3 linked regions of the Oryctolagus cuniculus genome follow. The protein of the gene in region 3 interacts with the protein of the main gene of each other region in a biochemical or structural test. Links are inferred from orthologs where the notes say so. Each region holds a gene or a part of one and is shown on either strand. Other genes may lie near its edges.

What was found. The genes of interacting proteins can lie anywhere in the genome.
Region 1: the proteins of MAVS (region 3) and IRF3 form a complex in vitro, tested with the Homo sapiens proteins (2 studies listed by BioGRID). The link is inferred for Oryctolagus cuniculus from reciprocal best matches to the Homo sapiens genes MAVS and IRF3.
Region 2: of the proteins of MAVS (region 3) and TRIM31, one has a biochemical effect on the other in vitro, tested with the Homo sapiens proteins (2 studies listed by BioGRID). The link is inferred for Oryctolagus cuniculus from reciprocal best matches to the Homo sapiens genes MAVS and TRIM31.

The regions. Positions count from the first base shown.
Region 1 is NC_091449.1:7,838,163-7,842,437, reverse strand, and holds the start of IRF3 (interferon regulatory factor 3), read right to left. Parts: upstream 2,801-4,275; 5' UTR 2,685-2,800; coding exon 2,648-2,684; exon of another isoform or gene 2,353-2,647; intron 2,315-2,352; exon of another isoform or gene 2,171-2,314; coding exon of another isoform or gene 2,034-2,170; coding exon 1,861-2,033; intron 1,351-1,860; coding exon 1,182-1,350; intron 1,100-1,181; coding exon 1,047-1,099; intron 777-1,046; coding exon 497-776; intron 414-496; coding exon 33-413; intron 1-32. Other genes in the region: BCL2L12 (bcl-2-like protein 12), read left to right, coding at 3,410-3,516, 3,641-3,783.
Region 2 is NC_091436.1:140,344,601-140,348,602, forward strand, and holds the start of TRIM31 (E3 ubiquitin-protein ligase TRIM31), read left to right. Parts: upstream 1-1,202; 5' UTR 1,203-1,376; intron 1,377-4,002.
Region 3 is NC_091442.1:29,181,353-29,184,852, reverse strand, and holds part of MAVS (mitochondrial antiviral-signaling protein), read right to left. Parts: intron 2,370-3,500; 5' UTR 2,290-2,369; coding exon 2,173-2,289; intron 1,226-2,172; coding exon 1,051-1,225; intron 1-1,050.

The DNA.
Region 1 (4,275 bases), on a different chromosome or scaffold from region 3:
CCCGTGCTCGCCTCAGCCCGTCGCCCGCTCACCTGCCACGAAGGGCCCCAGCTCGAACACGCTTCCGTCCTGGTCCTTGGGGACCTCGCCGGCGGGCCCGTGCCCGCTGTTGGGGAGCAGCTCCTCCCCCACGGCCCAGTAGGTGTGGCAGTGCCCCAGCCGCCGGGCACAGAGCCGAGGCCCCAGCTGCCACAGGGCCAGTCCCCCCTCCAGGCTCTGGAGCACGCGTCGCACGTAGCAGCTCACGCTCCCGTCAGACAGGGCCGTCCCGGGGTCCGGCAGGGCAACCGGCTGCCCCGGCAGCGTCCTGGCTGCGGCTTCCGGGCCCACGAGCCGCAGGCCTCCTGGGCAGCAGATGGTCTGCTGGAAGACCTGGCGGCCCCGGTAGAAGGCGGTCACCTCGAACTCCCACTCTGCGGGGCGGCGTGAAGGGCGGGGAGAGAGTGAGGCCCGGAGCCCTGGCCGCGGCCCCTCCCGCCCCTCCGCGGGCACTTACGTTCCTCGGGCACCAGCAGCTGCCTCAGTGGGTTTTCAGGGGGTGCGGGGTGCGGGCAGGGGCCGGGGTGGTCCAGGTGAGGGCTCAGCAAGAGCTGAGGGCAGCACTCAGGGGCCACAGCCCCAGCCCAGGGCCCCTCGTCCGGGCCGGCCGCCAGGCCCATGTCGCCCAGGAGCTGCTCCAGCTCGTCTTCCTGGAGGGACAGACGGAGCTGGGCGCCGCGGCCCTTCCTGGGGACTTCAGCCACGCGGGGACCCCTCGGCCCTCCACGAGCTCCAGGCTGGGGGAGACGCAGCCGCGCCCCTGAGCGCCTGGCAGACGGGGGTCTCAGAGGGGGCGTGTCCCTGGCACAGCAGCAAGGGAGGGGGAGGGGGAGGGGTTGAGGTCTCAAGAGGCTGAGGGCGCCATTATCCGAGGAAAGCTATGAAATCCTGGCAGGGTGGGGTGGGCGCTCCGATGCCCGAGGCTGCCGGACAGCCACAGGGGGCTGGGAGCCGGGGGGGGGGGGGGTGAGGCCAGGCCAGGACGACGGGGAGGGGTGCATGCTCACCTGGCTCTCAGAGGTACTGTCCCCCTGAACTTCGGGAGAGATGTCCCCAGCTCCTGTTGAGAAAGGCGATGGTGGCGGAGGGGTGCTGGGCACCGGACATCCCGGCCCTCCGTGGGGAACCCTGCTCTGGCACACCTGAGGTCACAAACTCGTAGACCTTGTGCGGGTCGTGAGGGTCCTTGCTCCGGTCCTCAGCTAAACGCACCACTTCCTTCCGGTTTAGGGCGGACCGGAAGTTCCTCTTCCAGGTTGGCAGGTCGGGCCTATCCCCGGGAGTATAGGCGCCGCTGGCCTCTGCCCAGGCCTAGGGCACCAGCGGTGCCGGGACACCAGGGAGGAGGATGAGACCCTGCCCTGGGGTCCTCACTTCACACAAGGCTCGCCCCCACTGCAGCCTCTGGCGCCCGGGTTCCATCCCGATTCTCGGATTCCCCACGTGCCCAGCTTCCCTATAATCCAGCCTCACCCCTACACCCTGCCTGCAGCTGTCAAACCCACTGATTCCCACACCAGCCTTCCGGGCCCCGCTGGTGTCTCCCTGCCTCTGCGGGTCCCAGGACAGCCTCAGCTCCGCCCCCGACGCTGTGTATCCTAAGCTGGTGGTTAGGAACCCCAGCTTTGGCCACTCCCAGAATTCAACAATCAAAGCCAGACTCAGCCGGCACCAGAATGCGTTTCCTTGGGGCTCTGGCCCTGATAACTGGAACCGGGCCGCTCCCACACTGCCTGCTCCCCAGCACCAGCCCCCCCACACCCGTCGCCTTAGGAGCAGGTGCCACAGGGCCAAGCCCCTCCCAGCCGAGCACGCGCGCACCTGGAAGATGCCGAAGTCCTGCGGCTGCGCATCCTGCCGCAGCCCGTGCTTCCAAGGTATCCGGAAGCGCTTCCGGTGCTCGTCCACCCACGACACGCCCTCCAGCTGCCCCAGGTCCAGCTGCTGGATCAGCCAGGGCAGGATCCGCGGCTTCTGCGTCCCCATGCTCCCGCCTGCGCGGACAGGGAGGTTCCTGGGCGTGGGCCCTCTCCTGCCCTACCTGGCCCAGGACTTCCACACCCAGGCTCCCTCCACGGGTCGCAGCGTCCCGTAATCGCCTGGTGTACAAACAGGGGGCCTCCTCTCCCATCCTCCGGAAAGACTCCCTGATTCAGCGAGGATTCCAGCCCAGACACACTGTAGACACCCAGCCTCCACGCCCTCGCCTCGGCCAGTGTAGACCTCCCCCTTTTCCTGATCCAAAGCCGGCATCCCCGATTCCACCGCGCTGTGGGCCGCCTTCCACGGTTCCCCCACGAGGGAGCCCCCTACCCGTTTCCAGCGCCGATGCTCGGGCACGACCCCCCGCCCCCGCCAGCGCGCGCGCCCCTCTCCACTCTGGAATGAACTCTTCCGCGTTACGGTCGGGGCGCGCAGGGTGGACGCCCACCGGCCCTGGGCTCCGGGTAGCTCTCAAGCTCGAACTTGCGCAGCTTGTGTCCTGTCAGCTGAGCTTTAGCGCGCCGGGGCTGTCTTTCCTATCGATCTCTTGAAATAAAAGCAATTTCAACATCCTCTAGGTAACAAGTTCCAAAGCCAAAGAGGCCGCCTGCAGCCCAGAGCGTACCCGTCTCGCCCCTTTTCGGTCTTCCGGCCACAGGCATGCTGGGAACGTCATATGCAAATCAGGCGGCACTCAGCGCCCCGCCCCTTCCACGTTGGGGGCGGTTACCCAACCGGCCCAGTGCGCAGGCGCGGGAAAGTTGACCTACTAGAAAAGTTTGTGTGACTTGAGGGAGGCGGCTGCGGCAGCGGGGCGCTGGGCCAGGTGAGTGGGGTGTTGTCCTTGGCTGGGATAAAGTGTGAATCGGGCCGGGACCCTGGAGCGGTACCTCAGCGCCGCTTCTCCGATGTCCCAGGGCCGGGGGTCCCCAACGTGCCAGCGTGGTGGTCGGAACTACATCTCCCAGCAGGCTTCGTGGCAAACACTCCCTTCGCCCCGCGCTCGCCCTCTGCGGGGCCTGCTGGGATTGGTAGTTCCCGGTCCCTTAAGGACGGCTAAGCTTGGCATATGCTAACTTCAGCATGCACGAGAAAGCCCCCTTCCCCTCGCGGACCCCGGAGTCCGGGCCCCCAGCCCCCTCCTCCCTTGGATCTAGGAATCCCAGCCCCGGGCCCCTCCTTTTCCGGGATAAAGCAGTTGGTTCTCATCGCACTTTTCCCTCTGGGGGACTCAAGAGTTTGGGTCCCTCAACCCTGAACCCTCCCCGAGGCCCTCAGCGCCTTCCTCCCTTTGGGGCCCAGGACTCCTGGGCCTCTCTTCATTCAGGGACGGGGGGCTTGGGCCCCAGCCGCCAGCTCCTCAGCCTCCCCTCCCCCAGGTGCCTCCATGGCGGGCTCGGAGGAGCTGGGGCTCCGCGAGGACACGCTGAGGGTCCTGGCTGCCTTCCTCAGGAGGGGCGAGGCTGCCGAGGCCCCCAGCCCCACCCCTCCCAGGTAAGAGGGACCCCCTCTCGCTCTCAGTCCGTCTTTGTCCAGCGAGGGAGAGATCCTCAGTGGGCAGGAACGAGGGACTGTCCCCAGGGGCCCCCCGGGGTCACTCTGAGGTCCCCCTCCCCAGGAACCCCGCCCCGGAGGAGCCGACAGACTTCCTGAGCCGCCTCCGCAGATGTCTTCCGTGCCCCCTGGGGCGAGCAGCCGCCCCCCCTGAGTCCCCTCGGCCTTCCTCCCTGCCCCTCCGCCCCTGCTATGGCTCGGAGCCGGGTAAGCCCTTCCTGACCGCAGGCAGGATGCGGTCCTAGTGCCGGGTTCCGGCTCCGCCCCCCAGTTCTCCGGGTGGACAGCGGGAGCGATCGCGGCCCCCCTGCACCTCTCCCGGTCCACATGGGTCTCGCCCTGTTGGACTGTGCAGCCCCCAGCACCTCCGACAGGGAGGCCGGAGCCCTGGACGCTTTGGCTGCGCAGCCGTGTGACCGTTCCCTTCCTGGTCCAGTGCGGCAGAGGTGGTGCGCAGCCATCCACCTTGCGCCGGCGCGGCCGGCAGAGCTGTGGTCGGTGAGCCCGGACAGCTGGGCGACGCGTGCTGGGATCAGTCCGCAGGTCCCGAGGTGCCCGGGACGAGAAGGGCTTCCCATCTGGGAAGTTTTCTGGATTGTGGAATATTGGTACAAACGTTACTGGTGGCCCATCCACAATCTGGAATCTAAAACTACTCGGAATCCTTTTGAAACGTAACAGATTGACCGGAGGGCAGCT
Region 2 (4,002 bases), on a different chromosome or scaffold from region 3:
CTACACTGTAAACTATGAGCTCTGCAGCCATGTCCGTTGGTGAGACCCATCCTTGGCCCCAGCACTCAGCCTCCTCTCTGCCTGGATCTCCAGGGTGCAGTCAGTCAATCTGCCACACACACAACTACTGTGCAAGAAACAACTTAGAGAAACCAAAGAAAAGATGCTGTGCTCCATCTGATGATGCATTCTCCGAAAAGTGGGACATGAGCAGAGCAGGAACTCAAGATCTGAGACTCAGCAGAGACCTCGGGAGCTGCTAGCAAAGCCACAAGGTCTTGGTGGAAACCCCTGAATTCTCCCCAGTGGCGAGGAGGAAACAATTAGCTGACAATACTGCTACTTGCTCTCACTTGTGTGTGGAGCGTAAAACAGCTGAACTCATAGAAGCAGAGAGTAGAATGGTGGTTACCAGTGGCTAGGGAGGGAAATGGGTTAGGGAGATGTTGGTCAAATGATACAAAATTTCACTTAAGAGAAATTGATTCAAGATTTCTATCATACATCATAGTGATTCTAGGTTTATCTGTATTCTTAAAAATTGCTAAGGGGTGGATTCTACATGTTCTTACCATCTTAGAAGTAAATGAGCAAGAAAACAATTGGCCTGAAATGCATTGAGGCTACTACTCATTCACCAGATTGAAAAAGCATCCTTAGGGCCAGCACCATGGTGCAGTGGGTTAAAGCCCTGACCTGCAGTGCTGGCATCCCATATGGGCACTGGTTGGAGTCCCAGCTGTTCCACTTCTGATCCAGCTCTCTGCTATAGCCTGGGAAAGCAGTCCTTGGGGGACCTGAAAGAAACTCCTGGCTCCTGGCTTCATCCTGTCCAGCCTCAGCTGTTGTGGCCATTTGGGGAGTGAACCAGCGAATAGAAGACCTCTCTCTCTCTCTGTGTCTCTCTCTGAACTTTGTCTTTCAAACAAAAAAATAAAAAAGAGACTTCTTAATATTTGAGTGCTACCTGAAACCTGCTTCTGAGCAGCACAGCATGACAGACTGGCACAGAAGTTTTGGTTGCAGACTTAGAAAGGGATGGGTCCACCCCCCAAGTGGAGTGTGTGTGAACGGCTGACTTACTGTAAGTACTTAGCTGGACACACCTGTTTCAATAAAAGGTTAAGACTGCTCAACTAGCCACTTCCTTGTAATAGAAAAGAATCAAAACAAGCCAGCAAGTGCAGAGAGTGAGACACAGCCCAGAGGGAGGAGACTTCAGAGGTAATTGTGCTGCCCTTTCGGGATGTGAGAGTAAGACCTACCTTGAAGTTTGTGGCTTGACTGTCCCATTCCAAGGCCTTGAGACAGGACCTAACAATGCATTCCAACATCATACTATGAAAACACGTTGAATCATTTGTGGAGAGAGCAAAGTAAGTTTATTTTGGTGCAAAAATCTTTTTGAAATTCATGCGGTTTTTTTTTCATGATATTCACTTTCTTTGAACTTTGTGAAGTACCTGCATATTTTATGAATTTGTAAAAGTGATATTTTAATTCCAGTTAGGATTGCTGTCTCTATTTCAGTTTTCTCTACCACAGTATCCTTCTATCAGTGACATTTGGGGGATCGAGTTGAAGGGAAATTGAGTTGGGCTTACACTGTTTGGGTTTACTAAGTTATGTGGTTCAAAAGCACTTCCATATATAATCAAGTTATTGCTGTCTGTCTCAGTGTAGCAATGTCTTCTGGGAACACTGCTACCACCAAGACAACTCATTTGACATGAGACTGAAGTGCAAGGTTGGAGGACCTCCAGAATAAGAACATGTCCCATCATATGAGCTGCCAGAAGTATGTAGACAGTGAAGACAAGCTATCCTTTCAATCCTTAGATGCATAAAATTTAAGTCTAGGGTTCAGTCTCATCAATATCTAGTCAAAGTAGAAGTGCTTTTCTTCAGGAATATATTTGACAATACAACATATACAATTATACATATATCAAAAAATTAAATATTTACATGTTTCAACATGAATTCAGTAGAAGTTATCCTGATTTCAGACAGAGAATTAAAAGAATACAAACTTTTTAGTTTCAAGCAAAGGCGTTAATTTTTGGAGGGAAAAAAATGATTTTAATTATAAAAATAGATGCTTAGTTTTTTTCTAATCAATTGGTGAAGAATGAATTTTATAAAACATTGAAATTTTGAAATATTTCTGGTTAACTTGATATAAAATATTGATATCTACAAACATATTTTCATAGTGCATCTTTACAACAAGGTAGATGACCTTCAGTAATGTATTTAAGGTGAGTCACTGCTGTGAAAATTTGAAATGCCCTGAAATCTAAGGGGCACTTAAGAAGCTTTTAACACTAGCCAGTGCTATGGCAGAGAGCGTAAAGCCACCGCCTGCAGTGCTGGCATCCCTTACATTCATCAGTTCAAGTCCTTGCTGCTCCACTTCCAATTCGGCTCTCTGCTATGGCCTGGGAAAGTAGTAGAAGATGGCCCAAGTCGTTGGGCTCCTGCACCCCAATGGGAGATCCAAAAGACGCTCCTGGCTCCTGGCTTCTGGCTTCAGATAGTGTTGTGCCCAGATCATTAGATCCCCGCAGAGACCCCCAGAGAGTCGATCACACCGAACTGCAAGAGCAAGGTTTATTCGGGAGTACAAGCCACGACAGGGACCCCATCCAAGCAACTGGCACAGCGGAGGAAGGAGTGAGGCCCCGGTCTTTGTTTGGGAGAGTTTTTAAAGGAAAAAAGGGATACATCAGCAGGAAAAGAGTTACATACAGCACAGAAGCTTTGGGTTCAGGGAGTTACAGCCGGGGCTGACAGCACAGGAGCTCTGGGCGCAGGAAGTTACTTTGTTCAGCAATCTCTACTGTGCTGTCCTTGATCTACTGAGCTAGCTGTCCCTGGTAAGCTTTGATATCTCTGGGATGCCTGAATGCCTGCTTTCACAAGGACCTGGGTCTGCTATGGGAAACGGAGGCTGCTTTTTTTATTGTTTTAAAATGGAGTCACTTTGGCTCTTCATTCCCCTATTGATTTTGTGCATGTTTGAAGAACCCAATCATGGGTTTTGGACAGACATTTTATAGGTTTTACAAACATTGAAGGGTTTATATTGGGACCGTTGGACCATTAATTGAATGGTGCCCAATCTCTGTTTCATAAACTGTATAAGTTTGTTAACAATGGAAGGGCTGAAGGTTAAAATTAAAATCAGGAGAACAAGGGGCCCTATGAGTCCTGATAGTAGGGGGCTTGCCACGGAGAAGAATTGAACCAAGACTCAAACCACCCCTGAGAGGCCTCCTGTTCTCTTGTTTTGCCAGCCCTCCCTGACCTTAGCCAGTCATGTTATCTTTTATTAGGCCCGAGTGATGGGCATAAAAGCAGCATTCTTTCCCAGAGTGGTGCACAGCCCACCACATTGGTCCCAGAAATCCAAGAGGTGCAGAGGGATGACGATCCGTCTTCAGAGTCACCCCTGCTGTCGTGGAGCAATGAGGCACTCTTCACTGCCATGGGGCGATGTCTTAAGCCACTGTCTCCTGGGTGGGGAGCCGAGACATTCCTGTAGTAGCATTTGGTTGACCGCCTGGTTGCCGAAGGCCTTGGTTCACTCCATCACCAGCTGTAAACACTTAAACAGACACTGTAGTATAGAGACAGGGTGAGGATAAGGCAGATTCCAGCCAAAACTGGGAGAAAAGCCACTCATTAGTGTGGGAGAGGATTATCAGTACACACATGTTGGGAGTATAAGTGGCAATCCACTACAGAGAACAAAGAATTTACAGAAATTTTTACTGTTTAATTTCTGCTCTACTTTTATACACAGAATAATGACTAGTTATTTGTAGCATGTCTTTAACTTTTTAACTTTGTGCATTTACTTTTCCTCAACAAGGCAGAGCTGCTGTTGCTATTTGTAACTGAGACAGCAGTTGATACTTAATAGGAAACACTGCTCACAGAACTGTATTCCCTACTAGCCAAATTTACCTAATAATGAATTATTTTGATAATGGAGAG
Region 3 (3,500 bases):
TCACAGAAACGCATGTTATGGGAGCCAGCACTGTGGCATAGTGGGTAAAGTCACTGCATCCCATCTGGCCACTGGTTCGAGTCCTGGCTGCTGCTCCACTTCTGATTCAGGTCCCTGCTAATGCGCCTGGGAAGGTAGCAGAGAATGGCCCCAGTGCTTGGGCCCCTGAACCCATATGGGAGACCTGGAAGAAGCTCCTGGCTCCTGGTTTCAGTCTGGCCCTGCTCTGGCCATTGATGGCATTTGGGAAATGAACCAGCAGATGGAAGATCTCTCTCTCTCTCTGTCTCTCCCTTTCCCTCTGTAACTCTGCCTTTCAAAAGAAAAAAGAGAGAGAAAGAAAGAAAACAAAAGAGAGAAAGAAGGAAGGAAAGAAAAAATAAAAAAGAAAAGAGAGGGAGGGAAGGAGGGAGGGAGGGAGGAAGGAAGAAAGAAATGCATGCTATAAAAACTGCATGGATTTAATTTTTTTTGGGGGGGCACCAAGATAAACGTGTCTTTCAAACTGTTCTTTCCACGAGCTTCCTGAAGTCCCTTGGTATGAACAAGGCTGGTTCCCTCCCTCCCCCAGGCCCTCTCCTCTCCTGACCATGCCAAATGCCCCCAGCACCAGGGCCAGGAAGGGGCAGCGGAAGGGAGCTGAGAGGTAACGGAGCAGCCTGGGGTGAGGGCTAGAAGGCTTCCAGGGGGAGCAGGAGGAGGGGAAGTAAAGTGGAGAGAGGGAGGGCGGACACGTGGGTGTGGAGAGGAAGGAACCCGGAGGCCAGAAGCAGGCAGCAGGCAAAGAACACAGCCCGACAAATCAGAGGAGTCGGCCCCTTCGACACGCACCGTCCCGCAGAATCTGCCCAGTGCAGAAACTGCCATCAGCCCCATCTTACAGAGGGAAAGCCCAAGGCTCAGCCAGGCTCCACACTCGGGTTCACCCACAGATGGCAGGAGACGGGTGGGAGGGTGAGGACAAAGGCAGGAGGTACCAAGGAGGGAGAGGCGAGGGTAGAGAAGGCAGAGGAAGCAGGCAGGGTCTCGGGGCCAGGGCAGGACGCTCACGAGGCAGGTGGCGCTGATATTCGCCAGCCACTTGGTCAGCGAGCTCCGGCAGCTCGCAGGCCCTCAGGCCCCGGATGAAGGAATCCACCCAGCCGGTCCGCCGCTGCAGGCTGTTGAACAGGTCCCAGAGGGTGTCTCGGTTGCCCAGGCGCGTGTAGGAGGCCCGCAGCCGATCCTGGAAGACACAGCCCCGGAGTCGTGCTCAAGCCAGTTGTCGCTGGCTGCCTCTTCACCCAGCATGTGACAACTGCAGAGAGGGGCACCGAGAGACCCCAGTGGGGAGCAGCCATTGGACACTGGACCCTGGCCCAGGACAAAGCCAGGATCAGGGCCCTAGAACAGAATGAGGAAGAGCCATGAGCAGCAGCCAATAGCCAACGACCAACTGCAGCTGCCGGGAAGTGGACTCTGAGTGTCCTGTAATTAGCTCTCCTTTGCTGATGAGAAGCAAAATGTATTGCCTGCAAAAGCCCTGGGACCAGAAACCCCCCCCAGAGCAAAATGAAAACAAGCCACAAAACAGAAGCAAAACACAGAAAACGGTTGCTAAGCGATAAGGGATCTTCAAGATGCAACATACAAGAGGAAGGGGTCAAACCCCATCAGCCCTGAGACGCCTGAAGACAGGAGACCCCGAAAGAGAGCGCAGGGCTCCCATTGGAGACAGCAGCTGAAATGGGGAGGGGCGTTTTTCTCTGTGCTGGGTGCGGTTGGAACCATGGGGGCCCGTGGGGCAGGGTCCTGGGACGAGGAGAATGGAATCAAATCTGGGCAGGACAAGGACTAGAGGAAGGGAAGAGAGGGCTCCGAAGAACAGTGGGACCGGAGCCAGCCGAAGCACTACACGAAATCAAACACAAGAGGGAGCCGGGGAGGCTGGCAAAGCCAACCCCACCACACAGTGCGCCAAGTAGCAGGGACAAGAGGCGGCATACAGGGCCTGGGAAAAGTTTGCAGAAACATCAGAAAGACAAGTGTATGTAGGTGCAGGAAGGTTTGGAATCCACATGTGGGCGGTTTCCGAATATGCGTTTCCTAGGAATTTTTTGAAGACCCCTGGTCCACGAGGGGCAAGGAAGGAGCTGGCCCTGGCTGGGGTGAACCGGCGGGGGCTGGGCTCACCTGGTCATTTGCCGTAAGGCAGGGCAGGTAAGGCAGGATCTCTAGAACATCCACACGGCAGAAGCTGCTGTGGTGGTGGCAGATGTACTTGTAGGTCTTGTCCTCAGCAAACGTCATCGCCGCTCAAGTTCTGCAGACGGGGCCCTGGACTCGGCGAGCGCTATGGCCGAGCGCGATGGACTGAGAGACGGGGAAGACTGGAAGAGAGCAGAAGGCAAGGCCACGGGGCTGGGAGGGGCGGGGCAAAGGCATTTCTTTCCTGCTCAGCCTGCTGGAATTCTGCTTTTATCTTTCATCTTCAATTTCTTTCTTTCTTTTTTTTTATTTATTTGAAAGTCAGAGTTACACAGAGAGAGGAGAGACAGAGAGAGAGGTCTTCCATCCGCTGGTTCACTTCCCAAATGCCTTCAATGGCCAGAGTTGGGCCAGTCTGAAACCAGGAGCCAGGAGCTTCTTCCGGGTCTCCTACGTGGGTGCAAGGCCCCAAGGACTTGGGCCATCTTCTGCTGCTTTTCCAGGTCATAGCACAGAGCTAGACTGGAAGTGGAGCAGCCGGGACTAGAACCAGCGCCCATATGAGGTGCTGGCACTGCAGGCAGCGGCCTAACCTGCTACGCCACAGCACTGGCCCCTCAATTTCTTTAAATGTCCTAATTGCCTGGATCCTAGGGGCTCTCAAAGAATTTGCTCAACAATGAACTGAAGACCAAAAGGAGATGCAGGTGATGCAGGGCCCATGTCTGTCCTGTAGCTTGGTCGGTGCTGGAGCCTGTGCCCCTAGCACATGGAGGGGGTCTGCCTGTGCCCCTAGCACATGGAAGGGGGTCTGCCTGTACCCCCAGCACATGGGGGACGGGGCCCTGTCCATGACCCTGGCTCCCAAGTCTGTGAGTTGCTCCCAGCTCTAAGGCCCTTAGAACAATAGCAATAACTCCCCATCTTGAAGTACTGCTTCTTTGGGGTAGGTTGGGGGTGATGGTGGTGGAGGCCAATCTGATAGCAATAGGATCATCTAACTTTAAAGATGGAGAAAACGAGGTACCAAGAAGCCCAGGGGCTGCTGGACGTGGAAGAGCAAAGAGCCGGGACCCTCAGCACCAGGTTCTTTCCGGAACACAACTGTGGGCCGTGGCTGTAGCGTGCCGCGTGCCCATGCTTCCAGGGAGACTGCACCCCACCGCCCTGAGCTCGTGGGGGGACCCGGGACCCAGCATGCACCTCTTCCAAGATTCTTCCTCACCTTCAAATGGCTCCGCGAGCTTACTTTGACAGTCATCACTTGGCCCCACATGCTCACAGTTTTTAAAGTGCTTCTAATACAAGCCATT